Notamacropus eugenii: one gene and its partners. The protein of the gene in region 2 interacts with the protein of the main gene of each other region in a biochemical or structural test. Links are inferred from orthologs where the notes say so. Each region holds a gene or a part of one and is shown on either strand. Other genes may lie near its edges.

Evidence for each region.
Region 1: the proteins of CDC42 (region 2) and CDC42EP2 form a complex in vitro, tested with the Homo sapiens proteins (3 studies listed by BioGRID). The link is inferred for Notamacropus eugenii from reciprocal best matches to the Homo sapiens genes CDC42 and CDC42EP2.
Region 3: the proteins of CDC42 (region 2) and MCF2 form a complex in vitro, tested with the Homo sapiens proteins (2 studies listed by BioGRID). The link is inferred for Notamacropus eugenii from reciprocal best matches to the Homo sapiens genes CDC42 and MCF2.
Region 4: the proteins of CDC42 (region 2) and CDC42EP5 form a complex in vitro, tested with the Homo sapiens proteins (2 studies listed by BioGRID). The link is inferred for Notamacropus eugenii from reciprocal best matches to the Homo sapiens genes CDC42 and CDC42EP5.

What each region holds. Positions count from the first base shown.
Region 1 is NC_092873.1:18,114,286-18,121,873, reverse strand, and holds the start of CDC42EP2 (cdc42 effector protein 2), read right to left. Parts: upstream 3,005-7,588; 5' UTR 2,841-3,004; intron 99-2,840; 5' UTR 1-98. UniProt on the Homo sapiens protein: Probably involved in the organization of the actin cytoskeleton. May act downstream of CDC42 to induce actin filament assembly leading to cell shape changes. Induces pseudopodia formation in fibroblasts in a CDC42-dependent manner.
Region 2 is NC_092876.1:62,146,168-62,153,866, reverse strand, and holds the start of CDC42 (cell division control protein 42 homolog), read right to left. Parts: upstream 3,017-7,699; 5' UTR 2,924-3,016; intron 1-2,923. UniProt on the Homo sapiens protein: Plasma membrane-associated small GTPase which cycles between an active GTP-bound and an inactive GDP-bound state. In active state binds to a variety of effector proteins to regulate cellular responses. Involved in epithelial cell polarization processes.
Region 3 is NC_092879.1:60,593,950-60,601,234, forward strand, and holds the start of MCF2 (proto-oncogene DBL), read right to left. Parts: upstream 3,010-7,285; 5' UTR 2,756-3,009; coding exon 2,461-2,755; intron 1-2,460. UniProt on the Homo sapiens protein: Guanine nucleotide exchange factor (GEF) that modulates the Rho family of GTPases. Promotes the conversion of some member of the Rho family GTPase from the GDP-bound to the GTP-bound form. Isoform 1 exhibits no activity toward RHOA, RAC1 or CDC42.
Region 4 is NC_092876.1:13,689,161-13,695,428, forward strand, and holds CDC42EP5 (cdc42 effector protein 5), read right to left. Parts: upstream 2,008-6,268; 5' UTR 1,879-2,007; intron 1,741-1,878; 5' UTR 1,638-1,740; intron 1,207-1,637; exon of another isoform or gene 1,180-1,206; coding exon 688-1,179; 3' UTR 503-687; downstream 1-502. Other genes in the region: LENG9 (leukocyte receptor cluster member 9), read right to left, coding at 1-168; platelet glycoprotein VI-like, read right to left, coding at 4,969-5,138, 5,436-5,492, 5,913-5,957. UniProt on the Homo sapiens protein: Probably involved in the organization of the actin cytoskeleton. May act downstream of CDC42 to induce actin filament assembly leading to cell shape changes. Induces pseudopodia formation in fibroblasts. Inhibits MAPK8 independently of CDC42 binding.

The DNA of each region.
Region 1 (7,588 bases), on a different chromosome or scaffold from region 2:
GCAGCCAGTGTCCTTGCCTGCGGGTGTCTCTTGCCTGGCTCCCTCAATGGGCAGATGACTGTTTCTCCTGGATCCAAGAGGCTGGAAGTTGACACACTCTGAAAGAAAAGAACAAAGTAAGTGTCTGCCCACAGTGGAAAGCTGTCCCTACCATTTCATTTTCTTGCCCTGGTCCCCACCAGAAGCCATCCTTCTACACATTCCCATGACAGTAAGTGCCCCTGGCTTTCCAGTGACTAAAGGGAAGAAGACAGAAATGTCAGGATCAGGAGGAAGACAGGTTGGAATGTCAGACTTCAAGGAACTTAGAACAGTCTAGACTACAAAGGACTGTCAGAGGTGAACCTTGTGGATTTAATGTCACCCCCTCACTTTAGAGGAGGAAACAGAGACCCAAAGAGAAGGGACTTGCTTGAGATAACGCAGCAAGCCTGTGGCAGAGCCTGACCGGAACTCAGGCCTCTTGACTTCCAGCTCCCACCACCACATTTTATCCCCTCTGCACTGTGTATACAGGACAGCACTGCTATGTGTGGCCTGTAGTTTTGCCTGCCCACCTAGACTAGGAGCTCCCAGAGGACTCAGGTAGCCCTGAATGGGGGAGCCCACCTAAACCCCCTACCACCTCCCCAAAGCCCTCATTATCATGGGATCCCAGGAAAAGATTCGATCTGCTCATTGATAAGGTGCACGACTGAGCAGACTTGCCAGGTGGGGACTAAGTCCAGATGGGCCAGGCCCTGCACTCACAGCTGGCAGGCCAGTAAACCTCCTGGCACAGAGCCAGGGCCCACTCTTCCTATTGGTGAGGAACCTCCCTCCCTCCTGCTCCCTTCAGCAGCCTGGCCACCCTAGCCCCTTTAGCTCTAGGGCTCAGATCTCAGGGTCTATAAACCCCCCCTCCAAAACCCCTTGCCTCTCAGCTGAGGGCCTATAAGGCTGTTCCCAGACAGTGAGCGTTTCCACAACAAACTTAGCCCATGGGTGGGCAGAAGTGCTTGCCAGACAGCTGCTTCATTCTGGGCCAGATGTGTCCACCCATTTCCAGATGTGGAACTGAACAGGGAAAGAGTGGGGTGGGGAGGTACTGCTGGCCAGTTCCTCCCAGTTGTCCTGTGGGTGTCAAGCCCCAGGCAGGTCTCTGTCATCTGGATCACATCTGATGAGGGCAGGAGGTCTGTGGAAGCCAGGCCACCAAGCCACCAGATTCTGGGGGAGGATCAGGTGGTGGTAAGGAAGAAGCCCCAAGTTTGGAGGACCTGGACCCCCTCCACTTACTCTGAGGGACCTCGCAAAGCCCCTTTTCCTCTAGGATTAGACCAGCTATCTTCACAAGCCCCAAATTGGGCCTGTTTCTGTCCCATCCGTATCTGTCACCTCAAAGCTTTAGGAATGAATGTTTAACACCAACCTGCCCTCCTCACAATGAAACATTTTCTAGTGGGAAAAGTGTGCTGACCTGGAGACCTGAAGCTGACCCCAGCTCTGCCAACCTGGGAGGCCTGGTAGAAACCACTCACAAGCTCCCTGACTTCAGCTTTCTGCTCTATCAAATGGGACCCCTGGCTCAAGGCCCTGGGAGCCTATGAAGATAACCTCCATTTGGGACATCACAGAATGATTGGATGTGACCTCAGAGGTCATAGACTCCAACCCTCTCATGTTATGGAGGGGGAAAGTGAGGCTCAGTAACCCAAATCCTCTGACCCTCAGCCAGGGTTCCTTTGTTAAGATGTCTTCCCATGAATTCACACAGAGAGGAAGAGGGAGAGAGGGAGAGAAGGAGGGAGGGAGGGAAAGAGGGAGAGAGTCAGTCTTAAATCCTAACTCTCCAGGGGCCAGAGATTTCAGGGATTTTACAGGATGAGAATTTACCAGGAGCCACAGAACGGGGTTCCCCTTGGGGTCGGGAGCTCAGCGGCTAACTCACAGGGGCCAGTAGATGGCGCCACGCGCCCCCTGCACATAGAGCCCCCGGCATGGGGTGAGACTCTGGAGTCCGGTCCTTGCCGGGTTACACCCGTGGACGGGAGGGAGGGTGGAGAGAGGACAGGGGGGTCATGGAGAAAAGCCATGCCTGGCTCTGGGCTGCGAGCTCGAGCCTGCCGCCCGGTTGCTCTTTGAATGGGGAGGGGGCTATGAGACCCTCCGCACCGGGAGGGCCGGGGGCCGGACCCCGGCACGTCACCAACTACGCCTCGGCAGAGGGACGCCCAGCCTGCCGAGCGTCCCCGAGGGCTCGGGGGTCCGACACCAAGGGAAGTGAGGGCGCCCCAGCTCGAGGCTTGTCCGGAGGCTGGAGCACTAAGGGCCGTTCGGACCCCCTCCCCACCCCCAAGCAGGGCGCCGCCAGCCCTGCCCTGCCCTGCCCTGCCTAGCCAGGATCTGTTTCAGGGCACGGCTAAAGATAGGCGCACACCTCAGCCATTTTCTAAAAATACGGGGCGCTCTCCCCCTCCCCCTGGGGCGGGACGGAGAGCGGGGAGGGGGGTTGCACCCAGGATCAGGAGTGGTAGCTGAGGGCAGGGAGGCTGCGGGAGGGCTGGCCATGAGGCTGGCCGGGGGTCTTGGAGATCCCTAAAGGAAGAAGGGGCACGACTGGCCGGGAGGAAAAGGGGAGGAGTGAACCGAGGAAAAGCTCCGGGAAGGAGAGGGAGGGGGGACAGGGACAGTGCAGGAGGAGGGACAGAAAACGCTGAAAGAGGCGGGAGGATCTGGGGGGGGACCCTCTCCACCCATCGAGCAACCCCTCACTCCCACCAGGGAAATTCCGTAGCCTGGCGTGGGGACCTCGGGGTGCCCCCCTCCTGAACAGCCGCCCCGCTTCAGTCCTATCTTACCCCGGGAACTTAGGGTGAGGTGCTCTCAGCCAAGCCGGTAGGTCCGGGTCCGGATGGGCTTAGGACGGACAGGCGGCGGCTGCCACAACGAAGACCCTCAGCTGTTGGGACCGAACTGTTCCCAGGCTCCCGGCCAGCAGCTCCGCCTCCGCGGGCCCCGCCCCAGGTCCCCGACGAGCCAATGACCGCCCTGGCTCTGGCCCGGCCCGGCCAGGCCCGGTCCGAGCCGGCTCCGCCCCTCCCCGCCCCGCCTCTCCAGCTGCTGCTTCGAGCTGTCCAGGGAGGTAGAGGTGGGGTGGGGAGGAGAAGGGAGGGAAAGATGAGTGTGGGGAGGAAGGAGAGAGTGGGCTAGAAGGAGGGAGGACCCGGGGGATCCAGCCCAGCTCGTGTCCAGCCTGGGGCTTTACCTTGAAGGATGCCTGGGGGCCATCGAGCTGGGGAACTCGACTCCCTTTGGCTGTTCAGTCCTAAAGGAATCTGGCCCCCACAGTGCGGGCAGGCTGTTAGACTGGAGGCACCCATAATTCTTGCCCTCAGGGAGTTTATATTCCGGCCCAGGGAAGTCCGGAAAGCTCTAGGTTGGAGGACTAGGTCCCGAACCTCACGTCTCGCTTTTCTGCAGGCCGTGTGTGCCCCATACGGGCTTAGGCCATTAATTCCTTGGAGAAGTGGGGGCCAGAAGGTCAAAGCTATTTTGCCAATACTGCTGAAAATACTTACTGATATGGTAAGTTTTGCTACCTGTGACCCACATACATCTTTAATTATTGAGGGGAGTTCTCAGTTTTGTAGAGTGTAAATGGGATCCTGAGACCAAACAGTTTGAGAACACCAGAGTTCTAACCATGAGAGCTTAGGGAACTTGCCCAGAGTCACACAGCGGGGCCAGTGTGAATCAGATGCAGAACTTGAACCCAGGTCTAACTGGTTTTGTCCACACTGGCTCTCGGTCCTTAGCCACGTGACCTATTGTATGTACATAAATATACAAGTTGTGTAGACATAAATACAGAATGTACAATCAAAAGGGACTACAGGAGTCTTTGGGGTAAGGCTGTGGAGCCCTGCCGCCACCTGCTCAGGTCTTCCCACTACCGACCTGTGTCTCACTACCTGGACCAAACCTGAACCCCTAGACCTAGGGCCCCACTTCCTGGGGAAGTTAATCCACACATCTCTACAGCTTCAGCCCAGGAGCCTAGCTGAGTTAATTCGTGATGGAGAACCCATCAACTAGTCCGCTTAACCCACTTCTGGCTGGACCCAGGTAGCCGACCATTTGACATCTTCCTGACCCATCCAACCATCTTCTCCTCCTCTCCCCTCTGCCCCACCCCTCTTCCCTAACCGAGCTGTTCATAAAGCACTCAGCACAGTGTCTGACACATAGTAGGTGTCACATGAACACTTATCCCTTCCCATTCCCCAATCACCTCACCCCCAAGTATCTTAGTTTTCCTGGTGAAATGTAAGTTCTAAACTTTGTATCCCGAGCACATAGCCCAGTGTCTAATACATAGAAAGCACTTGACAAAGGTTTCTTCCATTCCTTCTTGTAGAAGGTGACATTTAATCTGAGCTTTGAAAGAAACTAAGGATTCATCTAGTACCTAAGTATTAAAGTACTTAATCTTAGTACTTTCCCCCTCATTAACCAGTGAAATGGGTTAGCATCATTATCTCCATTTTACAGATAAGAAGACTGAGGTGTGGAGAATGAAAGCTATTAGAGCCTGCTAAGGTTTGGATAGAGGACTTGGGAGGCTGCGTTAGAGAGAGAAGGGGAATTTTGGGGTCCCTGGACCTGGCTTAAGGGGAAATAGGATTCTTGGGCCCAGGGCCCTACTTGAAAGTGACTGCCATGGTATTCTGAAACTCTGTGAGTCTGAGGGCTGAATGTATTCTTTCTGGGAAAGTCAAGATAAATCCTATTTTAAAACAGGTACATATGTGACAATTCATATCGACACAAAGCCTAAATTAGGGGCAGCTAGGTGGCAAATGGATAGAGTGCCAGCCCTGGAGTCAGTAGGACCTGAGTTCAGATTTGATATCAGACCCCCTACTAGCTGTGTGACTGTGGGCAAATCACCTAACCCTAATTACCTAAAAAAAACCCACCCAAAAACCAAGCATAAATTAGAAGTTAATTCTTCGTTTTAAGCAACTAAGGGGAAGGGCAAAAGTCTTTCTTTCTTCTTTAGGGAGTTTGTTATAGGTGAAAAACTTTTGAGTTCAATCACGATTCCTCTGAGCCTTCAGTTAGGAAAATTCCCAACACCTAGCAGAAGTTAAGCTTTCTACCCAACCATGCCTTTATTTATCTCCCCTTTGTGGTGGAGGCAAAATTCAATTTATTGGAAACATTTTGGTAACCGAATAGTGGACACCAGATTATATTATAGAATCTGTGGCTAGACTGGTGTCTAGAGAGGGACCTGGAATTTCCTCAGCCATGTCCTCCATCATATCTCCCCTCTAGCCAGAAATCAGTCCTCCCTAGGCTTACAAGTTCTTCCTTCAATTCAGACACTCAGAATCTCATTCCACCCCACTGGCCCCATCCTCATTAAAATATAAATTTGAGATATGCTGAGATAAAAGCTCTCCCTTTTACACAAATTGCTTAGGGTGGCATCCAGCCTTTCACCTAAAATCCTGTTCTTATTCAGTTCTGATTTTCAGATTTAGTCAAAAAGTGTCCATCTCTAGTCAAAGCACCGGGTTTTGCATCTGAATGGTTTTCCACCGAATCCTTATACACTTGGATATTTTGGGGGGGTGGAGGTGGAGAGGTGGAAGAGAAAGGAAACCTAAGGGTCGACCCCTTCCCCCTCCAAAGTGAGAAGAAAACAGAAGGCCAGAAGGAATCACAACCGGGCAGGCGAACTTTGAAAATGAGAGATTGAACATATTATGCACTTTATAAAGAAAAGCAAACTCTACAGAACAGAAATTATACTCTGTAAGTCTCTCCTGTTCTACAGTGTATATGGAAACACTTATTTTTACTTGATGTTTACTAAGTTCGGATTTTTTTTAAATGAAGTGAGAAAAAACCTTACTTTGCAGTTTTTCATTTGCCATATGTCGGTATACAGTCAAGTCAAAAAACATGTATTAAGTGCTTACTGTGTGCTAAACATCGTGTAAAATCAGTCACAACCTTCAAGGAGTTCAAAGTCTAATGCAAATACGAGAGAATAATAAATGTGTTTCTATGCTGCTTACAAATTGCTTCCTGCTTTGCTTCCACTGTAAACTCCTCGAGGCTTGATCTTTGCAGTGTTTTCTTTGCCTCCCCTAAGTGCTTGGTTGATGACTGATGGATTCCATCCACTCAAGAACTCTGGTGGTAGAACCTTCCTCCTGGGAGGTTTTTCCATAATTCCTTTGTAACAGTCTTAGAGAGTTGCCCAATGACAACAAAGAGTGAAATGCCTTGCCTCAAGTCACACACCAGAATCTGAACCCAGGTCTTCCAGAGTCCCACGCTAGTTCTCTATCCTGAATTCAAATGTGTCTCAGACACTTACTAGCTGTGTGACTGTGGCTAAGACACATAAAATTCGGTTTGCCTCAGTTTCCTCATCCGTGAAATGGGGACGATAATCGCATCTGCCTCCCAGGGGCTGTTGTGACTTGACACTAAGGTGAAATGATATTTGTAAAGGTATGGTTTGCTCTGCAAACTATAAATGCTAGTTATTATCATCATTATCTACCATCGGGTGCTGTCCTTTCTAGGACTAGTGTAACACATTTTCTTTGTTCCGCTCCTCTTTTGGAACATTTTTACTCTTTCATATCTTTTGTTTTTTAACTTCACTTTTTTTCTAAACAAGTCTCTCCCTATCCCCTGCCCAGAGAACTAACCCTTGTTAACAAAAAATACAAAAATGATTAACAACCTAAAAACCAATCATTGCATCAAGTGATGAGATTGATAGAATATGTAATACTTGACATCTACAGTCCCTTTAAATAGGGGAGGGATCTCTCTCTAAGGCCAATCTTGGTACTTTTGTTGATACAGAATTCAATGTTGTTATTACTGTTTGTTTTCTTGTCCATTTACTTCACCTTGCCTCAGTTCGTATAAGTCATTCTCTGCTGCTCTGAATTCTTTGGGTTTTTTTTTTTATGGTGTATGCTGTTCCATTACATACTAGAATCCACAGCATCAAGGTGAGCTACTGCACTGATGGTAAATTCTTCAAGTTGAAAAGGCGATGATGGTGCATGACTTTTTGTTCGCAGATGATCGTGCACTCAGTGCAGCCTCTGAAGCTGAGATGCAACAAAGAATGGACTGATTCCCCTCTGCTTGTGCTAATGAGCCTGACTGACAAAAAAAGGAACCAAGGAAACACAGGTGCTCCATTAGCCAGCACTGAACCATTCATACGTGGAACCATTGGTTACAACAAATGGAGAAGGTTTGAAAGCTGTGGATAAGTTCACTTACCTTGGTAGTGTACTTTCCAGGGATGTACACATTAATAATGAGGTTGATGCATACATTGCCAGAGCTAGCTCAGCGTTTGGAAGGCTCTGAAGAAAAGTGTGGGAGAGAAGAGGTAGGTATTAGACTGACTACCAAACTGAAGTTCCACGGAACTGTAGTGATGGGGTTCAGACTCTGGGAGCCTCCTTGAGCTCCCCTTGAATCTTCCCACTTAATCTGGCCTTTCTTACTCAACTCTAATCTTCCCATTTGTTCTGGCAATCTCAGGAAGCCCATGGGC
Region 2 (7,699 bases):
GGGACTTTACTAAGTCAGTAAAGAGTTACAACAGTAAAGTGGTGTAAAAATACTCCTCACTCCATCTACAACACTATTTTAAAAGTCTACACAGGAATTAGTTTTACACAGGATAAAAGTTCAAGAGAGGTTAAATGACTCCCTCAAAGTTGACAAAGCTTAAGGGGCAAGTCTCAATAAGAAACTAGGGACCCCTGACTCTAGATCAGTATTCTTTCCATTATACAAGATAAACTAGAATGAAGCAATACCATCAAAGTCTAGAATAGAAAGCAGATGAGTTTTTGAAAGTACCAGCCTAAGGAAGCTTAGATAAAATTCTCAAGCTGGAGGGGTTGGGACTGGGGCTAAACTCTACCACATCTGAGAAACTGCTAGGCATACTCAGCAATTCTAACATAGTTAGAAAAGTTACACTCCTAGTCATAGGAAGTTGAATCAATCCATTTTCCTTTCTTGAGGAAAAGGGAAATGACCCCAAGGCAGGCAAACAGAAGAAACAGCATCAATGAAAGATGTATTTGAGAGATTTTATGAGCATGCAGCCAACAACATAGTTAATCGTGAATTTCTAAGACCTTTCCTTAACATTCTCTGGATGTGAAAAGCAAATTCAAAACATTTTCTTCCTTTTATTTCTTCTATCATTTAAAAAAACTAGTGAGACTTCAACAATAACCTGAAAGGGATACAAACAACTAATAAAAAATAAGCTACTAAAACCAAGATTAAGTATTTCCAAGCACTGAGGTTCACTCCATACCTGTCTGGTGTTAGCTCTCCCTAAATCCTCCAGGTTGCCTTCTTTAGTTCTAAAACTGGATCCCTGTCTCAACTTCCTACAAAAAAACCCTCATGATCAGTTAACCTAAAGGAGTTAATTCAGCACAGCAGGGGGCATAATTAGTGGCACAGCTGTAGCATTTACAGGTGTTTCTAAGTAGTAATTAGTTCAAAAATAATCACAGAATCATCAATTTAGAGGTAAAAGGGATCTCGGAAGCCATCAAAACCAAACCCTTCATTTTACAAATAAAGGTACAGCGAAATTATTAACTTGCCCAGGGTGACAGCTATTAAATGACTGCGAACATTCTGAACCCAAATCTTTCTGGTCCCAAGACCAAACACTCTATTTCACCACACTAAGCAGCAGCAACAAAGCTTATTTTCTGGGTTTGTAGAAATTTTGTTTTTAACGAATCTGCTGACCCACAGTTGCTGATTACAGTCATCTACCAGTGACTAAATCTAAACTGTGTGATGCTACTACCACAGAAGGGAAATATGTAACTATTAAACAGGTAAGAGTCTTAGTTTAAGGTTTCTAAAACAAGGTACTACTCTTTTCCAAGCTGTATCTCCGGACTTCCTCAAAATATCAAGACCACGTGAAAAATCCCAACTCAAGGATCATCAGCCACAACACACCGCAAAAAGTATGCTCGAAAATTTCGTCTCAAAACTCAAACCTGTGCGACTTCAGTCCTTAGGCTCAAGTTCTTCTCAGGCACACAAAGGAAAAACCAGTTCAAGCTACATGTTCAAACATGAGTGGACCCTACTTAACGCATCACACGAGTGTCGAGTTTTCAAAAGTACACACACTTCTCTATTACTGCATTTTATAGTCAAAAGATTAGCCATTAGCTCATTCCTGACCCTGGTGTCTATAAAAACTAACCAGCTCAAGGACTACTCCTGACTTCTTTTTGGAGTTCATGATTTTAAAAATTCTCAAACGTCATTTTTAACTACCAAACACAGACAGTAAACAAAGTATGGGTGAAATAAGCCGTTTCACATTCACCACCTAGATTGCAGCAAAAAATAAAATAAAAGTGAAAAAACCTTTAGCCCGATGATCAAATAAATGCAATTTAATAGGCTCCTCCAGGGAGGGGGAGGTTGTCTCGGAACAAAAACCACCTTCACTCGGTCCGGTTCAGTCAAGAATCCCGGGCCCCTATACAAGTGGCCTGGAGCTAACGCAGCCCCGCCAGGGAACCTCACCCTCGCCCGGTCCGACCCGGCCCTACCACACACCTGGGCCGGGCTGCGAGGTGAGCGAGCAATGGATGAACCCTCCCCAGCCCCCCGGCTCCAGGTTTACTCGCCTGGAGAGAAAGGCCCCCCAGAACGAGCGGAGCCGCAAGCTAACGGGGCAGGACCCCACCAAAGAGTTAACCCTCTCACCCCAGCTCTCGGCAATGACGTCATCTTTGCACCGCACTCCTAGAGCGCTTTAAAAAAAGGATAAAAGGAACAAAGAGGAGGTGCGCCCACGGGCGGGGATCAGGTGAGTTCTGCGGAGGGGGGGCTGGAGGCAGGGTCGCCGCACCTGGGGGGCTTCCGCTCGCCCTCGTCCTGGGCAGCGCAGGACCTGGGATGGGCAGAGTGAGGGGAAGGGGGGGCTCGCGGCCCGGCAGGGCGGAGGGAGCCCAGGGCTGCCCAAGGTGGCGCGGGTGGGGCAGGAAGGGCGTCGCCGCCTCGGCCCCAGCTCGGGGGGCCCCCGGACCCCGCTTCCCCGGGGCGGCGGCGGCGGTTCCGCTCCCCTCCCCCAGCGCAGCAAAATGTCCGCGGCGGGCGGCGAAGCAGGAAGTGAGAGCCGGGCGAGAGGGAGGGCAGGCGGGCGGCGGCGGCCCGGTCCGGGAGACCCGAACGAGAGGTACCCCGCTTCCCGTTCTCCTCCCCTCCCCCTGCTTCCGCCGCGGCCAGTGACAGCCCGGCCCGAGCAGGGCCCCCCTCGGCGCCCCGGATGGACCTGCCCTCGCCGCCAAGGCGCCCAGGGTCGTGCCAGCGTCCTCGCGCGCTCGCGACGGGCGCCGGGGACCGAACGCGGGGCGGAAGGCGACGGGACTCGGGTCGGGGGGAAAGGGGTGATTCACCCCCCAAAAGAAGCCCCTGGGCCCCCAGCACTCACCTCAGCTTCTCCGCCGGGGCGTTGGCAGCACTGCGCGGGGTCTCCTCCGCTCCCGGGCAGGGGCACGCCTCTGACGTCAGCGCGCACGCCAGCCGGCGCAAAGGCTGTCTGGGGAGGGCAGGAGGAAGTGGAGGAGGTGCCTCAGGGCCGGGGAAGCGGCTGCGCAGCCGCAAAAGAAGCCTCCATCTCTCTTCCTCCTCCCTCCGCCCCGCCCAGCTCACCCGAGTCCCTCCCGCTAGTTGAGCATGCGCAGTGAGCAAAGACACTTCCTCTCTCCCAGCCTCCTCCCTAGGACCTTGTTCTTCCTGTAGAGGAGACCTGTGGATTGGGACCCTAGCGGGCTGAGCTCTGACGTCACTGCAGTTAGCACGCATTTGTTAATTTCTTAGGAGATGTCCCTTGCGGAAGGAAGCATCTGCTTTACACTCCATCCAGGGGGCCGTGTACAAAAGAAATAATGTTAACAATTAAAGCTAAAAAAAAGTAACAATAATATTAATAAATAATTTACATTATTCTTTAAGGTTTGCAAAATGCTTTACCAATATTATCTCCCCTTATCAATCAAGTAAGCCATGTGGTGCCGAGAGCCAGCAATCAGGAAGACCTGCCTTAGACACTACCTATGTGACTTGGGTCAGGTTTTTCATTGTGTCCGACTGTCACGCCCTTTCTGGCTCTCTTGGCAAAGATACTGGAGTGATTCACCATTTCCTTCTCATTTTACAGACGAGGAAACTGAGGCAAACAGGGTGAAGTGACTTGTCCAGGGTCACACCACCCTAGTGTCTGAGGTCAGATTTGAACTCCAGGTCTGGAATTCTAATCTACTAAGCCACCTCGCAGCCTCAATTTCCTCATCTGTAAAATGGGGATTATGATAGCACCTACCACTCAGTGTTGTGAGAATCAAGTACAGTAATATTTGTGAAGCACCTAGCAAACTCTAGAGGTTTCTATAAGTGCTCCTGTTATTGTTAACAGCCCTGAATACCCCCACTTTACCAGTGAGGACGTTGAAGCTGATAGAGGCTTATGTCTCCCAGCTAATGGCTAGGATCATATTTGAACTTGCATCTTCTTGACTCCAGATTCAGAGGTAGAGAAGACCCAATTCTGGAAAGGAGAGGCACCAGCATCTAGAGGGTGCTTACTTGGGTGACACCTGGGACAAATAGCTCAATTTTGCTAAGCCTCCATTTTCTGAATCTGTAACATGAGGATAAAAATAACATCCAGGTACCCCAACTCTTGTGAAGAAAAAGTTTTTTAAACTTTAATGATGCTTTCTAAGCATTAATGAGACAGGTGATTTAGCAAAAAGAAGTAGCAAGCCTGAATTTGAGTCTCCTCTCAGACTTCAGAACTCTTGGCCTCAGTTTCCTCCTCTCTGAAATAGGGATAATAAATGCCTTTCTTGCCATCTTAAATATTGATAGCTGCTGTTTTTCCATAACCAAGATCCCTCCCTTTACCTGTCACCCTTCCTCCCCTCAATTATGTTATAACAAAGAAATTTTTTAAAAGAATAAGACAAAAAAGAAAAAAATTCACTAAACCATTGAAACAAATCTGACATTTATACGCAATGTTCCACACCTGTAGACTCCCCTCCCACTTGTGCAAGGGAGTTTTACCTATTAAGTCATTATTAAGGAGAAGAAAGGCGGTGCATGGGACCAAGCTGAGAGCATTTGGGGTCACACAACCAAGGTACACATCCCCTGGTGCCATCTCTAGTCTGTGGCCTCCAGGCTCCATCTCTCTGCTCCAGGCATTTTCTCTGGCTGTCCCCCAAGTCTGGTCGACCCTCCTTCATCTCTGACTACTGTCTCCCCTGACTTCCTTTAAATCCCAACTAAAATCTCATCTTCTACCAAAGGCCTTCCCTCCCTAACCCCTCTTAATTCCAGTGCCTTCCTTCTGTTAATTATGTCCTATTTATCCCATATACAGCTGGAGTATATGCAGTAGGTTGTTTGTTGGTTCCTCCCTCAGACTGTCTTTTCCTCTTTGTTAGCACTATGCCTGGCATGTGGCAGGTGATTAATAAATGCTTGTTGACTGATTGACAGTGCCATCATGGGCAAATCACTCCTCACTGTTTCAGCATCCTCACTGATGAAATCAAGGATTTAGACCGGGTCCCTTCCCAACTCCAAGTCTGATCGATTATTGCCCTTTGCCTAGGAGGAGAATGTTCCCTGTCCAGAGAAGGTGAGCTGCCTTAGGTTCAAGGGAAGGAGAGAGCTGCTGAACAGGGGAAAGAGCCTCTTTTTCCCACACACCTCTTCATATAAGGAAGTTTCTCTTTCTCTTCTCCTTTATCCTCACTCCGCATTCAGATTCCCTTATTTTGTCCAGTCAGCTTATAGAACTGAAAACTGCAATTTCATTCCAGATTTTTGAAAATTAGGAATCTGCATTTTTATAACATGTTCAAAGCTGGCCAAGGATTTTCCTAATATTAGCTCTGAAAGGTCAGTCTCCAAGTGGGGAAATGATTTGTCCAAAGTCACAAATGTTATTCAATCTAATTCAATGCACATGTATTAAGCACCTAATGTTTACAAGGAAGGCCCTATGCTCTAGCTCAGGGATAGGGGACCTGTGGCTTCAAAATCACATGTGGCCCTCTAGATCCTCAAGTAAGATGCACTTGAGGATCTAGAGGGCCACATGTGGCCTCGAGGCCACAGGTACCTCATCCCTGACTAGCTTGTTCTAAGATCGCAAAGACCAGATAGGCGGGAAGGGAGGGAGAGAGAAGGGGAAGAGGACATGGAGTTTATAAATGTCCCCACTTTAGATTCTGTCCCCCAGACTCTCAAGCAGAGAAGGCTAGCTCCCTAAACTGAAGCCTTCCTGCTGTAGGACTCCTTTGATGATGGAGTGGTGGGAGAATGGGACCAAGGTGGAGAGATCCTGGTGGGAGAAGGAGACCACAGTCCTATTCTCTTGGAGAATCCCACCTGTGCAAACGGAGTAGGAGGCTTCTTAGCTGGATGCGATTTCTAAGACAGGAGATAACCCTTCCTCCACTCCACCATTCTTTCCTCCCCCCACCACCTAAAAAAAAAAAAACAACAACAAAAAACTTCCTTCTTCTAGTTGAGGAGCCCAGAGAGGGCCGGATTCTTAAACCAAAAGGAAGTATCTTGAAAACGTTTTCTTTTAAAAAGCCCCAAGTCAAACCAAATCGCATCCTGTTCCCTCCAGGGAGCTTGGGAGATTTTATTTCGTAGCTATCCTTTTTCCCAGAACTGGCAAAAACTGGGTTCCAAAGGAATGGAGAAGTAGAGATAAGGAGCCTAAAAAACCCTTTGTGTGTGTAAAAGGCAGAAGAGCTTTCAAAGGGAAGGGAGCAGTGGATCCCCACCCCCACACTTCCCACTCAGCTGTCCCTCTGGGAAGAAAGGTGGGTCTTCTAGAAAAGGGATGGGAAAGAAGAGACCCCAGCCCATGGATGAGAGCTGAAAGGCCATGTGCTCAAACCCCTTCCTTTTACAGGGTAAGGAAACTGAGGCTCAAGGATGTTCAGTGACTTGCCCAGGGTCAACATTTAAGAATCAAAGGGAGAATTTCAACCCGGGGCTTCTTGATTCCAAGTCCAGTTCCCCGTCCATTCTGCCTCCAAAACAAGGTACTGAAGACTTCACCTCCCATCCTTATCTCAGAGATGGGGGTCTGTGAATATGTATAGGAAGCATCATCTAATGTCAGGCCTGATGGATGTGCTAGTTTGGCCAAACTTCTTTCTCTACCCTTTTATTTCTTATTTTAAAGAGTGGCTCTCTGGGAGGGCAAGGGCAGAGGGATATATATTAGGAAATGTGATGTAACTACAAAAGATACCAAATGTTTTGTTTTGAAGAAAAGGTCTTTGGAGAGGGGAGGAGGCAGAGGCAGGTAGGTGGTACAAGGGATAGAGCACCAGCCTTGGAATACAAGGGTACCTGAATTCACATCTGGCCTTAGACACTTAGTAGCTGTGTCCCTGAGCAAGTCCCTTAACCCTGATCACCTCCCAAAAAAGAAAGAAAAGGGCTGGGGGAAAAGAGATCATAGATAAATGGTATTTTCGCCTGGGAGAGTAATCTTAGAAGATTATTAATTTCATTCAGATCATTTTACAGATGAGGAAACAGTCAGAAAGGAGAAATTATTTACCCACAGTCACAGAAGTAAGAAATAGAGTCACCAAAAGTGATGTTAATGGTAGAATCAGAGCTAAAACCCAGGTCCCTAGGCCCCCAATCAATCCTGTAAGTATTCCACTAGAGATCTTGCTTGTCCAGGGTAGGTATTAGTATAATGCACTGAGGCAGGGAAGAACCCTGGGATCTCACAGAAAAAAAGAAAGACTAATAAAAAAGGACCCACTTGGAAGTTGAGTATTTTCTGTATGACCTGAAACAGGTAACTCTCTCAGCCCTCAGGGTCCTCATCCATAAACTAAGAGGGAAAGAATAGATGGGCTTTGAAGTCCCTTCCAGTCTATTCACTGTCCCATAATCTACAAATGTCCATCTATCTAATCTACCTATGCCTAGCAATATCTCCCTTCTAGAAATAGGATTCTAGATCAGAAAGTAGAAGGGGCCTTAGGCCTCACCTTGTCCGACCTCCTCGTTTTACACGTGAAGGAACTGAGGCCCAGAAAAGTTACCCAGGATCACACATACAGTGATCTCCAAAGCTCGGTCCACTGTGGAACCATGCCAAAGGTTCAGAGCGAAGAGAACAGACAAAAGTTCTTCTCTGGGATCGACTCCC
Region 3 (7,285 bases), on a different chromosome or scaffold from region 2:
TTCTTGCTTTTCCAAAACCCTGCCAGCATTTAGCTTTGTCAGTTCTAATTATTTTTTGCCGGTTTGAGAGGCATAAAGAAATACCTCAAAGTCATTTTATGCTGCATATATCCACCTTGTGTTCCCCTGCTGTATCCTTATGGAAGGGCAATACCATATAAAGCTGTGGAGGTCACTGTTAGCTAGACAGTCACTATGTTACTGTGGGCTGATGTTGCAGGAAATTTGTAGACTGCCTTCCCCTACTATATCCTTCTTGCAAGTTTTTTTTCTTTTTGAAGAGTTTTAGATTCCTCTCTGATCTCCCCCCCATCCCTTTTCCCGACTGGTAGCTTTTATGAGTGTATATGGTGGGGTGGGAGGGGTGTTGCTGGGGGAGATACGTGGGGAGAACTGGTTCGTATGTTGAAACTACCATCTTTCCCAAAGTACACCATGTCTTTTTAATATATAACAATTCAGTCAATTCTTTCTTGTAGGCTAGACCTGAAGCTAAGAACTTTGTAAAGATTTTTTTAGAAAAAAAATGCACATCAGAAATGTATTGACAAAATCCCTTAGATAACTACATTATCTGTTATGAAAAATATTTTACTTGTCACCAGTAATTAGCTTCTCTGGCTATTTCTGAAAACACATTGGGGAGGAAGGAAGGAAGGAAGGAAGGAAGGAAGGAAGGAAGGAAGGAAGGAAGGAAGGAAGGAAGGAAGGAAGGAAAGAAGGAAGGAAGGAAGGAAGGAAGGAAGGAAGGAAGGAAGGAAGGAAGGAAGGAAGGAAGGAAGGGAGGGAGGAAGGAAGGAAGGAAGGAAGAAAGGAAGGAAGGAATGATTTATTAAGTGCCTGCTATATGCCAGGTACTGTTCTAAGAACTTTATAAATATTATCTCAACAATCTTGAGATCTAAGTTCTATTATAATCCTCATTTTACAGTTGAGGAAACTGAGGCAGACAGAATGACTTGCCCAGGGTCACACAGCTAGTACTATCTGAGGCCACATGTAAACTCAGATCTTCCTGATTTTAAGCCCAGCACTCTATCCACTTTGACACTTAGCTGCCTAAAGATGGCTGGGGGGAGGGGAGAGGAAAAGGGATAGTGGATTGATTTTTGAGTGTTTCAATTACTTTTCAGACAGGGAAAATTGGAATCTCTTAACTTAAAGAAATATTTTATTCATCAAATCACCAGTCAGGACCAGAAGTATAAATGAATGGGACGAGGTGTGAGCATGAGCTCCACAAGCCTGTTTGCCATCATCATTAGCACATCAGTCCATCAGAAAGCAGCTATTTAAAACTTGAACTATAGAAGATGACCTACTAATGTCAGAACTTACTGTATCTATGACAAACAGACAGATTCCCTACTTTGCCACCATCTTCCTCTCGTATCTTGGCTTGGGGACTGTCATCTGACAGACACATGATCTCCCTAAAAATAGCAAAGCTCAGTGCAAATCACAACATTCCAGAGCTGTGGAAGGGACCTGAAAATTCATCTAGTCCCAACCCTTCCTTTTCCAGATGAGGAAACTGGGGCCCAGAGAGGGTCAGCACCTTGCAGGCCATACTCAGACTAGAACCCAGGTATCCCAATTCCCCATCAGGGACACATTTCTTTGAAACTGTCTTCAGTTCCTAAGGCACAAAGAAGGCACACAGTGTGTTAAAAATTAATTTAAAGGTTTAGGAAGTAAAGAGAGAGAGAGATGTTGCAAGAAAACTGACTGGTAGCGATATGGAAAAAGGTACAAGTGAAAAGAGGCTCCTATCACTCCATGGAACAGTGGAAAGAGCACTGATCCAGGGTTCCAACTCCACCTCAGGCACTTATTACTCATGTGACTTTGGACAAGTTCCTTAACTTTTCTGGGCCTCAGTTTCCCCATGAAAAATGAAGGAATTAGATTCGATGGCTTCTGAAGTCCCTTCTAACCCAGGATCTAGGATCCTATGATTTACTTTACTCCTGCAAAATATTGTATGGTAGGATTTCACCAATATTAAGTCAAAGGATACATATTTCTTATGGCTGCAACAAACATGATTGAAAAAAGAAAGAAAAGAAATGGACATACATACTTATCTCAAACTTGGGTTTGATTTTATATGTGTGTGTATGTATAAATATCCATGTAGGGTTTAATTTTAAATATGTGGCCATATACATACATGTATATGTGTGTATAACTTTATAAATGACTATATTGAGAGAGAGAGAGACAGAGAAGAACATAGAGAAAAAAGGCTAGAAAGATTTAGAAGTGTAAAGAACTTTCAAGTCCCCTTTAAGGACAAGAGGTCTCTAGGTGGCACAAGGAATGGAGCACTGAATTCAGAGTCAGGAAGACCTCAGGTTCAAACCCCACCTCAGACATTTACTTAGTTGTATGACCTGTCCAAGTCACCTAACCACTGTCTTCCTCAGTTTCCTCATCAGTAATAATAAAAACACCTACCTCTCAGGATGTCTGTAGGGATGAAATGAGGTAATGCTGGTAAGGTGCCTGGCAAACTTGAAGATGCCATATGAGTGCCAGCTTCTGCTATCTTCTGCAGCAGCTGCAGAAGCAGCAGCCACAACAGTAGTATCATTATTATTCCATTAATGAAGGAGTCGAATTCCAACAACTTGCAAATTGCGCTGAAGATGATGGGCATCATGCCGTAAATGGTAAGATCAGAATCCCACGATGTTTCCAAAGCAGCATCCTTGCCCCACTTGGCTATTGTCCCTTTGAGGCTGCTCTCCATGAGCCTGGTTGTGCAGTGGCAGCTCACGGGGAGGCTGACACAAGTCCCAGAGACCTGAATTATCTTCTTGGATTTTACTTTGGGTTCAAATCTAGGAAGTGCCCTAGGGAGAAGGGGCTGCAGAGGACAAAGGGACTTGCTCAGTCACACAAACAGTGGACAGTGCTGCTCTTAGAATAAGGAAAACTGGAGTATGGTTCAAACCCTACCTCAGATCCTTGGTAGCCGTGAAATCTGGGCAAGTCACTAACTCTCTGAACCTCTTCCTTCAACGTGTAAAGTGAGGATAATAAGAGAACCAATAGGAAAAGAGTTGGGATGAGGCACAGATCAGATGAGATTATGTGCTCAAAGTATTTCAAAACCCTTTTGAATCCTAGCTCTGTTGCGCTGAATTCCGGGCATCCTGACTCCCACATCCCTATCCTTCCTTTCTAATCATACAACTGTGTTCTCTGTTAGACTCCCCAACACTTCCTCCTCAGATTATTGTAGCATTATCTTAACTGACCTTCCTGCTTCGTCTCCCTTTTCCTGTCCATCCTTCACATTGTTGCCAAAGTCCAGTTCGGATCTAGTCACTTCCCCTATCAATGGCTCTCTTTTGCTACAAATATCATATCCAAAATTCTTTTGACTTTGCAAACCCTGTATGATCTTGTCCCAGTCCATCTATCTGGCTGAATTGGACAATATTCTCCCTCCTGTATTGGGCAACCCAGACAAAATAGTCTCCTCTTCCCCTCACAGAAGACCCGCCATCTCCCGTCTCTCTGCCCTTGTACTGGCTGCCTATCTTCCATGCCTAGAATGCCCTCCCTCCTCACCTCCACCTCACAGAATCCCTCTCTGCCTTCAAGACTCAGCTCAGGTACCATCTTCTGCATGAAGCCTTTTCCGGTTCCACTCCCAACTGCTAGTGCCCTTCCCTTGGACTGAACTACTTTCTTTCGGTTTGTACTTATTCTTTTTCTATTTATTCTGTATGTACTCATTTTTGTTGTTCAGTTCTTTCAGTTGTGTCAGACTCTCTGAGACCCCATGTGGGGTTTTCTGGACAACTGGAGAGGTTTGGCATTTCCTTCTCTAGCTCATTTAACAGATGAGAAAACTGAAGCAAACAGGATAAAGTGACTTACCCAGGGTCACATAGCTAATAAGTGTCTGAGGCCATATTTGAACCCAGGAAGATGAATCTTTCTGACTACAGACCCAGCACTCTATCAAGGTATACTTACACATGGCCTTAATGTCTCTCCTCTGAAGACAAGCTCATTTCCAACAGGAAATATTTCATTCATTGTAATTGCATGGCCCTGGCACAAAGCAGGTACTTAATAAATGCTCCTTTATTGATGGGATTAAGAGACTAATGAATAGTAAAATCTTAGTCTCTGCTTGCTGGAGAGTACTGCTCACCAGGCTACAGTTACCAAGCTACCTCAGTCACTTATCTTCACCTGTCTTTCCCAAACTCACAACTCTTTATCATCTTCCATTCCATTCCATTCCTTGGGTCACACAAAATCTTTGCCAACAAGACTTGTTAAAAGCAAATTATTTCAAGCAACACTCCCCCAAAATATCATTTATTCTTAATTTTGAATGGAAGGCAGCAAAAAGACAGAGAATGGAGCCAGAGGACCTAAAATCATACTGAGTTTAATCCTTTACTACCTGTGTGAGCTAATATGAGTAGATTCTCCTCTTTGAGTCTTAGTTTCTTTCCTTCTCTGTAAAAATATTGGGGTGGAGGGAAATGAACCCAATGACTACCAAGGTTAAGTCTATGATCTATGATTCCATAGTGCAAATGACAGGTGTCATTCCCAATGATGGGGTGTGGTGGGGGTGGGAAAAGTCCAAACATCCATCCTTAACAATTATCAGAAAAAAATCATTTGAATATGAAGAAAGGAGGACAATCAGTAGCATGAATGACTTTGACAAGGCTTCCTCCTCCTAGCACCACCCCAGGAGAATTTCTGACAAAACCCCCACAGTGACTAACTCGGTAAATCAGTACCATTTCTATTGATTTTCATCTTCCAATTTTCCACAGTGTCAGAGGGTGGCACAGACAGGAAGGCATATAAGACAGCCTGAGGTCAGGAGCCATCAAAGACGTGATGGGGCGCCTGAGTCCCTCTCTAATTAGGACACAGCCAGGACAACTGTGTACAAACTGTACCTCCCTGGCCTCCCAGCTATCAGCCACTTAATCGGCCAAGAGAACTGGACAGATAACTCCTCAAATGAGGGATAATCGACTCCAGACTGCTCCAAAGAGCAGCAGACTGAGTCCGCATGCTGAGCTAACCCCCTCGGGCCTCCACCAGACTCAGGCTTCCCTACATGTCAGCGATGGGGCTGCTTTATTTCCACCAGGAGCCTGCGGACATGGAACTCAATGTGCTGTCCCTGTAGTGTCTCTGTTTCAAAAAGCAAGCGTGCTACGTACTTGCTCTGGAGCTTGGTTGGTGGGAAACAATAAGATCCCAATTTGATCAACAGATCCCTCCTGGGCACAGCTAATGAATGGATGTATCACCAGCCTGAGACAGCAAAATAAGCTAGTGATAGATAGAAATACAAAAAGTACCAAATAACACTTGTTTTCATTTTTTTAAGTGAAAGAGGCTGAACGCAAAGAGATGGGAAGAAGGAAATAGATATAGATATAGATACATATTTATTCTGTAGGTCTCTCATGTTTACTTATCAGTGTATATGCTATCTATAGCCCTAGTGGATTCTAAGCTCTGTGAAGACAGAAACTGTCTTTATTATATTTATATTATAATATAAATATAATATATTATATTCCTTATTATATTTCTCCTCAATGCCAATTAAGCATGCAGTAGGTGCTAAATAAGTGCTTGGTGGGTGAAAAGGAAAGGAGAGATCATATAACATCCAACTTTCCAGTTCCCGTTTCTATTTTGTCTCCCCTTCTGAGATGGAATCTCCTTTAACAGGAGGGACATTGACAAGGCCTATCAGTTCTACCTTTGAAACTCTCCTTGCAAGCATTCCCATCTCTCTTCAGAAGCTGCCACCACCCTGGTGCAGGTTCTTACCACTTTACACCCAGATGACTGCAATAGTCCCCACTTGGTCCCCTTGCCCCAAATGTTTCCCCACTCTGGTCCATCATCTACTCAGCTGGCAAAATGATCTTCCTAAAGCCCAAGATTGGCTATATCAACCACCAGCCCCCTTATCATTCCTGGAACCAGACACTCTATCTAGCTCCCAACTGCAGACACTTTCCAGGGCTGTCCCCCATGCCTGGAATGCTCTCCCTCCTTCATCTCAGCTTTCCTCAAGTTTCAGCTGAAATGCTAGACTCCTTCCTTCTGTCGATGATGTCCAGTTTCTCCTGTATATCTTTAGTTTGTACATAATTATTGGTATGTGATCTCTTCCATTAGACTAAATTTCTTAAGAAAATGAACTGATTTTTACTTTTTCTTGTATCTCAATACTTAGCACAGTCCCTGACACATAATAAGTATTTAATAAATGTTTCATCCTCTAAGCAGAGGGGCAGGGCAGGAGATTACTAAAGCAGAATTTTGTATACATTTTCAGACAAAGATATTGTATTGAGTGTTTTTTGCTTAACTTCTCTTATATTACAAGAAAGGCTCAGTTGTATGGGGTGGAAGGGAAAGAGAGATTTCCAGAAAAAGAAAAACAAAATGAGAGGGAAAAGAAAAGAAGGGAAGGGAAGGGAAGGGAAGGGAAGGGAAGGGAACAGAGACACAGACAGAGAGGCACAGCAAGGGAGAGATAGAGATAGAGAGAAAAGCAAAACCACACACATATGGGAGAAAGCACTGGGCAGGAAGAAGGCCAGCAGCCGTTATTTGCCACAGGTGCCATGGCTTACCTTTCCCTGAATCTGTCTCTTGTTGGTGTTTAATTATGGGGGATTGGCAGCAGTGCCCTTTTTCCTTCTGTCACCTTTATATTGAAAAACACTAAGCAAAGACAGCATGTTTTCTCCATGCAACAGCAGGAGCTGCCATTTTGGGGTAGAACATGCTGAATGCTCACAGCCTAATGAATTAATCAATCCAAAACCTGTGGCTGCATTTTAAGGGAAATTTAAATATTTCTATTTCAAAGCTTCAGTAAAAGTGGGGCGTGGTGGAAAAAAAAACCACTAAACAGGAAACTCAGATTTTAATTCTGATTCTTCAACTGCCATTCAACCTTGGGACATCCATCCCCCTGCCCTGGATCTCAGTTTCCCCCTCTTTGTAAAATGACAGAATTTGGTGAAATAATCTCTAAGGATCTTCTCTAGTTGTAAACATCCCATTTCTCTAGGACTATATGCTCTCAGTCTTGTCGATCTTTAAAACTCTATGACTAATTTCCAACTGATCATAGAACAGGGATGACCTGGGTTCAAATTCAGACTGCTACACTTACTGGCTATTCAACTATGGGCAAGTCACTTAGCCTCTCTGAGCCTCAGTTTCCTCTTCTGTAGAATGGATATAATGATACCTGTAG
Region 4 (6,268 bases), about 48 Mb from region 2:
CTTCATGGGGGGCTTCTTGCCCTCGGGCCCCGACGGCGGCGCCGGCTGGAGGTCAGTCCGGGCTCCGGCTCCGGCTCCGGGGTGGGAGAGCCGGCAGCGGGCCCCGAAGTGGCAGCGGCCCTCCTGGTAGAACCGGCAGGTGGGCGCCGGCGCCCCCGCCTCCGCCATGCCGCCGCGCCCGGGGACCCAAGCGTCCTGGCCGCCCTTCCGGCCTCGCTGGGCACGCCCCTTCGGAGCCCGTAGCCTGGGTGAGGCCCTTAAAGGGACTGGCTCCCCGGAGGCCGGTCCGGGGGCTATCGCGCCCGCCAAAGAGGGCGCGTCGTAAAGGCCTCCCTAGGGGAAGCGCAGAGGCGGTCACTGTGGCCGCGGAGGCCCACAAGGGAGCCCGGCTGCCGTGGAACACAGCGCGCTCCCGGCCCGGCTGCCTCGGGGCTGGGCAGTCCGGGCCGGCTGCGCCCGCAGCCCGGTACCGGCTGGAAACACCGACGCCAAGCAGTCGACATAAATGGCTGACATTTCTTTATATATAAAGATTTTCTGGGCTGGGGGTGGGTGGGGATGGGGATTAGCTGGGCATGGAGGGGTGCTATACAGGGGGCATCATATAAAAAACTTCTGGTGCAAGGCCGGGGCCAGCCTGGGGCCCTGGCCAGGGTGCTGGGGACACGGCCAGCTGCCGGGGGCCGCCTACAGACCGATCACTTCCTCCAGGTCCTCCTCAGAGCCGAAGTCCGGCCGGGAGACCAGCAGCCCGCCGTTGGGGGCCCTCGGGGCAGCTCCCGCGTCGGCCAGGGCGCCCCGATCCATGACGCCTAGCACCTCCTCCAGGAGGGAGGGCCCCAGATCCAGGTGAAAGGACAGGAAAGGGTCTCCGGCGGCCGGCCGGGCCTCGGACTGGCCTTCGGAGGGCCGTGGGGGCTGCGGAGCGGTGGGGGGTGGCAGGGCTGGGCGCGCTGGGGACGGGGCAGCCGAGGGGGCTGGGGAGGGGCCCGGGGAGGGGCCGGGGGACGGGCCGGGGCCCCCGCCGCCGTGGCGGCTCAGGAAGGACGTGTCCCCGAAGGCGTCGCCCCCTCGTCCCACATGCATGGTGTGCCGAAAGTCCCCCAGCGGAGCGGAGATGGCATCTCGGTCCAAACGCTTCTTGGGCAGGGCCGGGCCCAGCTGTTTCAGGATGGGCATCTGGGAGAAGAGGGGCGCGGGTCAGCCCTGCGGGGTGGGGAGGCGGAGCGGGAATGTCCCCCCTCCTGAGTCAGGCGTCCCTGGAGCCCCGGGCTGAGGCTGTCCCCGCTCATCCCCAGCGGGAGGGCCTGGCTCCCCCGGGAGTCCCTCGCCCCTGCCCCTCCCCCTTGGCAGCTGTCTGCTTCCTCCAGCTGCATCACCTGGGCATCCTCCTCCTTCTCCACGTGTCCCTAGGTCACCCCCTCCCTCTGCAAACATCCCGGTCCCTCCCAGGCGGAAATCACACCCACCTGGATCCCGCTGGACTGGTTCTCCAGTTCCCGGAGAGGGCTGGGGGGTGGGGAGCCCAGCCAAATCTGAGCACCCTCTTCAACGTACCCAGTCTACCCTGCTCCCCCCCCGCCCACGTGGCTTCTTTGCCCAGGAGCTGGGCCCATCCACCCCACTGTCCCCCTTACTCTTTAGGGGGATCCTTGGGCCCCGGGAGGGTCCTCAGTCCTGGCCAGCTCCACTCTGCTGGGGCTGGGCCCCCTGGAGTCCGACACCAATCCCTCCTTTCACCTGGCAAAGGGAGAGCCAGTAGGGGCCTCAGGGACCCAGGAGTCTGAACACCCAGCTCTCGCTGCACTCAGGGACCCTGGCATCCAGCCTCCCAGCCTCCACCCCCTCAGGGATCCAGGCATCCGAGTCCCAGCCTACCTGGCCAGACCCAGCAGGTCAGCCCCAGTTTGAGGGGGCCATGGCAGGAAGGGCGGCAGGAGCGAGAGCCTGAGGATCAGGAGCCGACGCCCAGTCTGGCCCCTCTCGGGGTTGGGAGGGTTAAGTCCCTGGCCCCTCCTCCCCATCCCTCCCTGTGTCAGCCCCAAAAGTTTGGCTCTGGGATTTAAAGGGCCAGCTGTCCAGGAATTCCCCCCAGGGTGCTGGACCGCCCCCTGATTAGGGATGAGGGCAAGGGGGAGGAGGTTGGAATTTCTCTAGGGGCTTAGGAGCTAAAGGAGGCTTTGAGCTGCTGGAGGAGATGCTTCAGAGCCCCTCGGACATGCCCCTCCCCCTCTGTGCCCCCACTGCTCTGCTTCCTGGCCTGGAATTTCCTGGAGCCTGGGTTGGGAAGGAGTAATGACTTCCAGATTCAGCTGATGGGGGATGGGGGTGGTACTAGACAGGAGAAGAGACCTAGAGTCAGACGAAAGACAGCTGAGGGTCCTTTCAGGGGCAGGAACACAGGTCTCCCCAGCCTCCCTGCAACTGCCCAGCCAAGGCCGCCCTCTTGGGAGCCCTGGAGAACGAGGAACAGCAATCATCCCGGGATCCCTCCCCTCCCCCTTCCATTTCCATCCCCCTTCCCTGGGGGACTACCCTGAATCTGCTCCCTGCCTCCAGTCTCCAGCTCAAGAAGCTGGAAAGAGTTTCGAGTTCTGCCCCTCTGCCACCCACCCACTCACTCATTCATTACCAGGGAGCTCCCTAGACAATCCCTCCTCACTTTCTCTGGCTCCAAGGGATCTCCAGGGTCTTTTCCAGCTCTCAAGGTTGTTTTCTTCCACCTCCTTTACGTACACGTCCTGACTCTCCTTCTTTTGTGCCTCTTTGGGGCCTGCCACAAGAAGCCTGGGGTATTTTGGGGGAGATGTTGCTCATTCAGTGGAGCATTGAGAGGGAATGAGGAGTTGGGCTGTTGGGTTGGAGGGGAGACCCTGTCCTGGACTCTCCTCTTCTTAGCATCACCCAACGTGGCAAGTCCTGGGTGGGACCTGGAGGATGCACTGGTCAGAGACTGGACCCAGGAACCCCACATTCTCCCAACACAAGCCAAAGGGACCTTCATCATCATCTGCTCCCATCCCTCCTTTATCTGACAAAGAAGAAAGCCAAGATATTTAAGGAGCAGAGCCAGGACCCCAGGTCCCACTCACAGGCTCATGAGGACCTGGGGGGCTTAAACATTCCCTCATTTGGCAGAGCAGGCAAGTGAGGCCAGGGAGATAGCATCTCCTACGTGGCTCACAGAGTGACTGAGCACACATCTGGCGCCCAGAGTGTGGCTCCTCCGCCCTCCATGTTGGGCCTACATCTTGCACTATGGACCAATGGGAACCCAGTGACCTGGAATGAGCATTTATGAAGCATCTCTTCTGAGCTAGGCTTGGTGCTGGGGATACAAAAGCAACAGGAAAGAAAGGTCCGGGCACCCCAGGGTCCTTGGTGTCTACTAGGCTGATTTTTTTCAGCTTGTCCCTGTGGATATAACCTTCTCTTTTCAGTTTCCTCATTTGTAAGACAGGGATGAGCCCCCTCTTCCTCCTGCCTAGGCAGAATGTCTGTCATTTCAATCTTAAAGTTAATGGAGATGGATGGGAGCTACTGTTGTCAGTTTAGTTCTCCTCTTGAGTGTGTGACTGGGGGAAGGGGAGGAAAGAAGGGAGGAAGAGACCCTTGGTCCTTGGGGCTAGGGAGCTAGATTCAGGGTCAGGTCTGGGAGGGCTAAAGGATGGGGAAATGATGCAGAATTGCCTCTGGTGGGATGTCGAGTGAAGCTCTTGCCTCCTCAAAAACTTGGAAGTGGAGAGTTGGGTCACATTAGTGGAATTGGGAGGAGTTCCAGAAGAGATCCCTAATGCAAGGAGGTGATCGAGGGCCCAGCGGAAGGTTCAGAGGAGACTGGATTCCAGCTCTAGCTTTGTCTTCTATTTGCTCTATAACCTTCAGTGTCCCCCTCTCTAGAGGATAGGTGTGCGTTGGCTTCCAAGCACCCAATTAACATGGACTTGGCAGTTCTATTGGAATGTTAGGTGGAGCCTCCCTTCAGGAATAACTGTGTGATTCTGTTTGGAGTTGATAAGCTGTGATGTTTAATATAAAATTTTGGAATAATCTCTTTGTTCTCTCTGAAGTAAACTCAGAGAATGCCTTTCCTATGTCAGCAAAAGCCAGCCAAGGCCGACTCTACACTCCTTAAGGAGACCTTTAACCTAAGACACTATATCTTGAATAATGAGACTTTCCTTTGAATCTTATTATCTGTAGACACATACTATGTTATGGCATATTAATGGTAAAGAAAATATAGACATCTTAGGTCATAATTTCTATTGAACATTGTTTACCCTTTCCTATGTCAATTATCTGTTTAGGGGAGGAAGCCTGCCACTTACTAGTGGTGGGGTTTCTTTCCTTATCACCGAGACATATGCTTACCCAGCCTGAAATCCCAAGGCCTGACCAACATTGCTTTGTTAATTGTCCAGTCTTACTGAATTTATGGTTTGCTTAATTAGGAGAGTTTCTTTCTCACGGCAAAATGTATATAAGCCAGAAGATTTCTGCACTGGGTAGCCAGAACATTTCTGGCTCCATAATGCATTATGTTACCGTTTTCTTTAATAGGGAATTGATCAATTAATTAATTAAATCATAAAATGTATGCATTTAGCCTGTTGCCTTTTCTCTAACAAAGTTTTCAGGTCAACAGCTGTTATCAGCCCCTAGTCCTTGAGGAGGTCTCAGAATCAGATATGGATGCATGGATGGATGGATGGGTGGATGGAAGGATGGATGGATGGATGGATGGATGGATGGATGGATGGATGGATGGATGGACAGACAGACACAGGGGCCTACCACCATTTCTCTGTACTTTATGAAGCTGAAACCACAGGCAGATCTCATAGACATTCCCTCTTCCTATGCCTCATGCTTTTAGGCGACCACATAGGACTTCCTGAAATATTCTACCCCCACCTCCCACCCCCAGACCAGTCTCTGCGGACCAATGGTGTGGGACCAGGATCATTATGGAGCTGTTGGGCCCTGGGCCTGGAAAGGGGGCCCTGAAAGTGTGTGGAATTTCACCCTCCAGGCTTGCCAGGCTTCAGCCAGAAGTCCCCCCAGGGAAACCACTACCAATCCAGCCAGGATCAGTCGGATGAGGTTGGACACAGTATAATCCTGTGAGGTGGGACCTGTGGGGATAAGGCTGTTATTGGCTGAGTCTCTAAGGCATAGCTCGGAACTTAGGCTCTATCCTTGCATGCGATCTCTGGCTTAGGGGTCCCCCTTGACCTCAATAAGCTAGCTGAGGCTCCAGGCACATTGAGGCAACTTGTTTAAGGGAGCTTCTCTCCTGGAAGCCAGACTCTCAGTTCCTAAGATGCTCCTCCCAGTTTTCTGGTCATGGAGTCCCTGAGTCAGAAGGGAGGCAAGGATAGGGAAATACAGAGGTCTCCTCCCCCTAGATTTGAGAGGTCTGGTTGGCTCACCTATTGGGATGTCCACCTTCTCTGGGGAAATGTGGGGGGATGTGGGAGCTCCTGGGACTGGGGAAGAGAGAAGGGAGAGGGTTAGGGGCTCGCCAACCTCCCTGTGTCTATCCTGAGACCTCCTCCACCCACAGCCTGAGCATCCTTTCTTCTGTTTGTCATTATCAGAGGGAACCCAGAAGTTCAGTTTGCATGGGCTCATACAGATCACTGAGTCGAATCTCCTGATTTATACAGATGAGAAAAGAAGCAAGGAAGGCTGTACTGCCGAGTATCCTGAGCACAGAGTCGTTCATCCAGATGCTTCTCTCATGGGCCACCCAGACTCTTCTCCAGTTCTTTTCATCTCCCTGGGGAGAATCCTGACCCTGAGTCCCCCCCCACCTCCATGAGGGCAGCTGACCAGTGAGAGTTAGGGGGGCACAGGTGCCACCTTTGGGAGCCTTTGACCTGGAACTTGGAGGTCCCCTTACTTACCTGCTGGAGTATTTGACTCACTTGGGGAGAGGGTTTGAGGGTTTCCTAGGAATAGGGAAAAGGAAAAGATATCTCTCTTCTCTGTCTCATCTGGACCTCAGAGAGCAGAGGTGAGTGGAAGTTAGCACACCCCCATCTTACAGTTAAGGGGCATGCCACCGAATCCCAAGTGACAGAGCCAAATTCGGATCCAAGTTTGGTTCCAAAGCCACTCCACCACACTGCCTTGAGATCATCCCAAGTCTCTCCCTGCTCCCAGCTCAGCTCAGTCTGACTCAACTCATTTGAGTGTTCCAGTAAGAAGCACTCTACCCATTGTCAGACTCTGGGACCCCTCAATGAGCTCTCTGACCTCT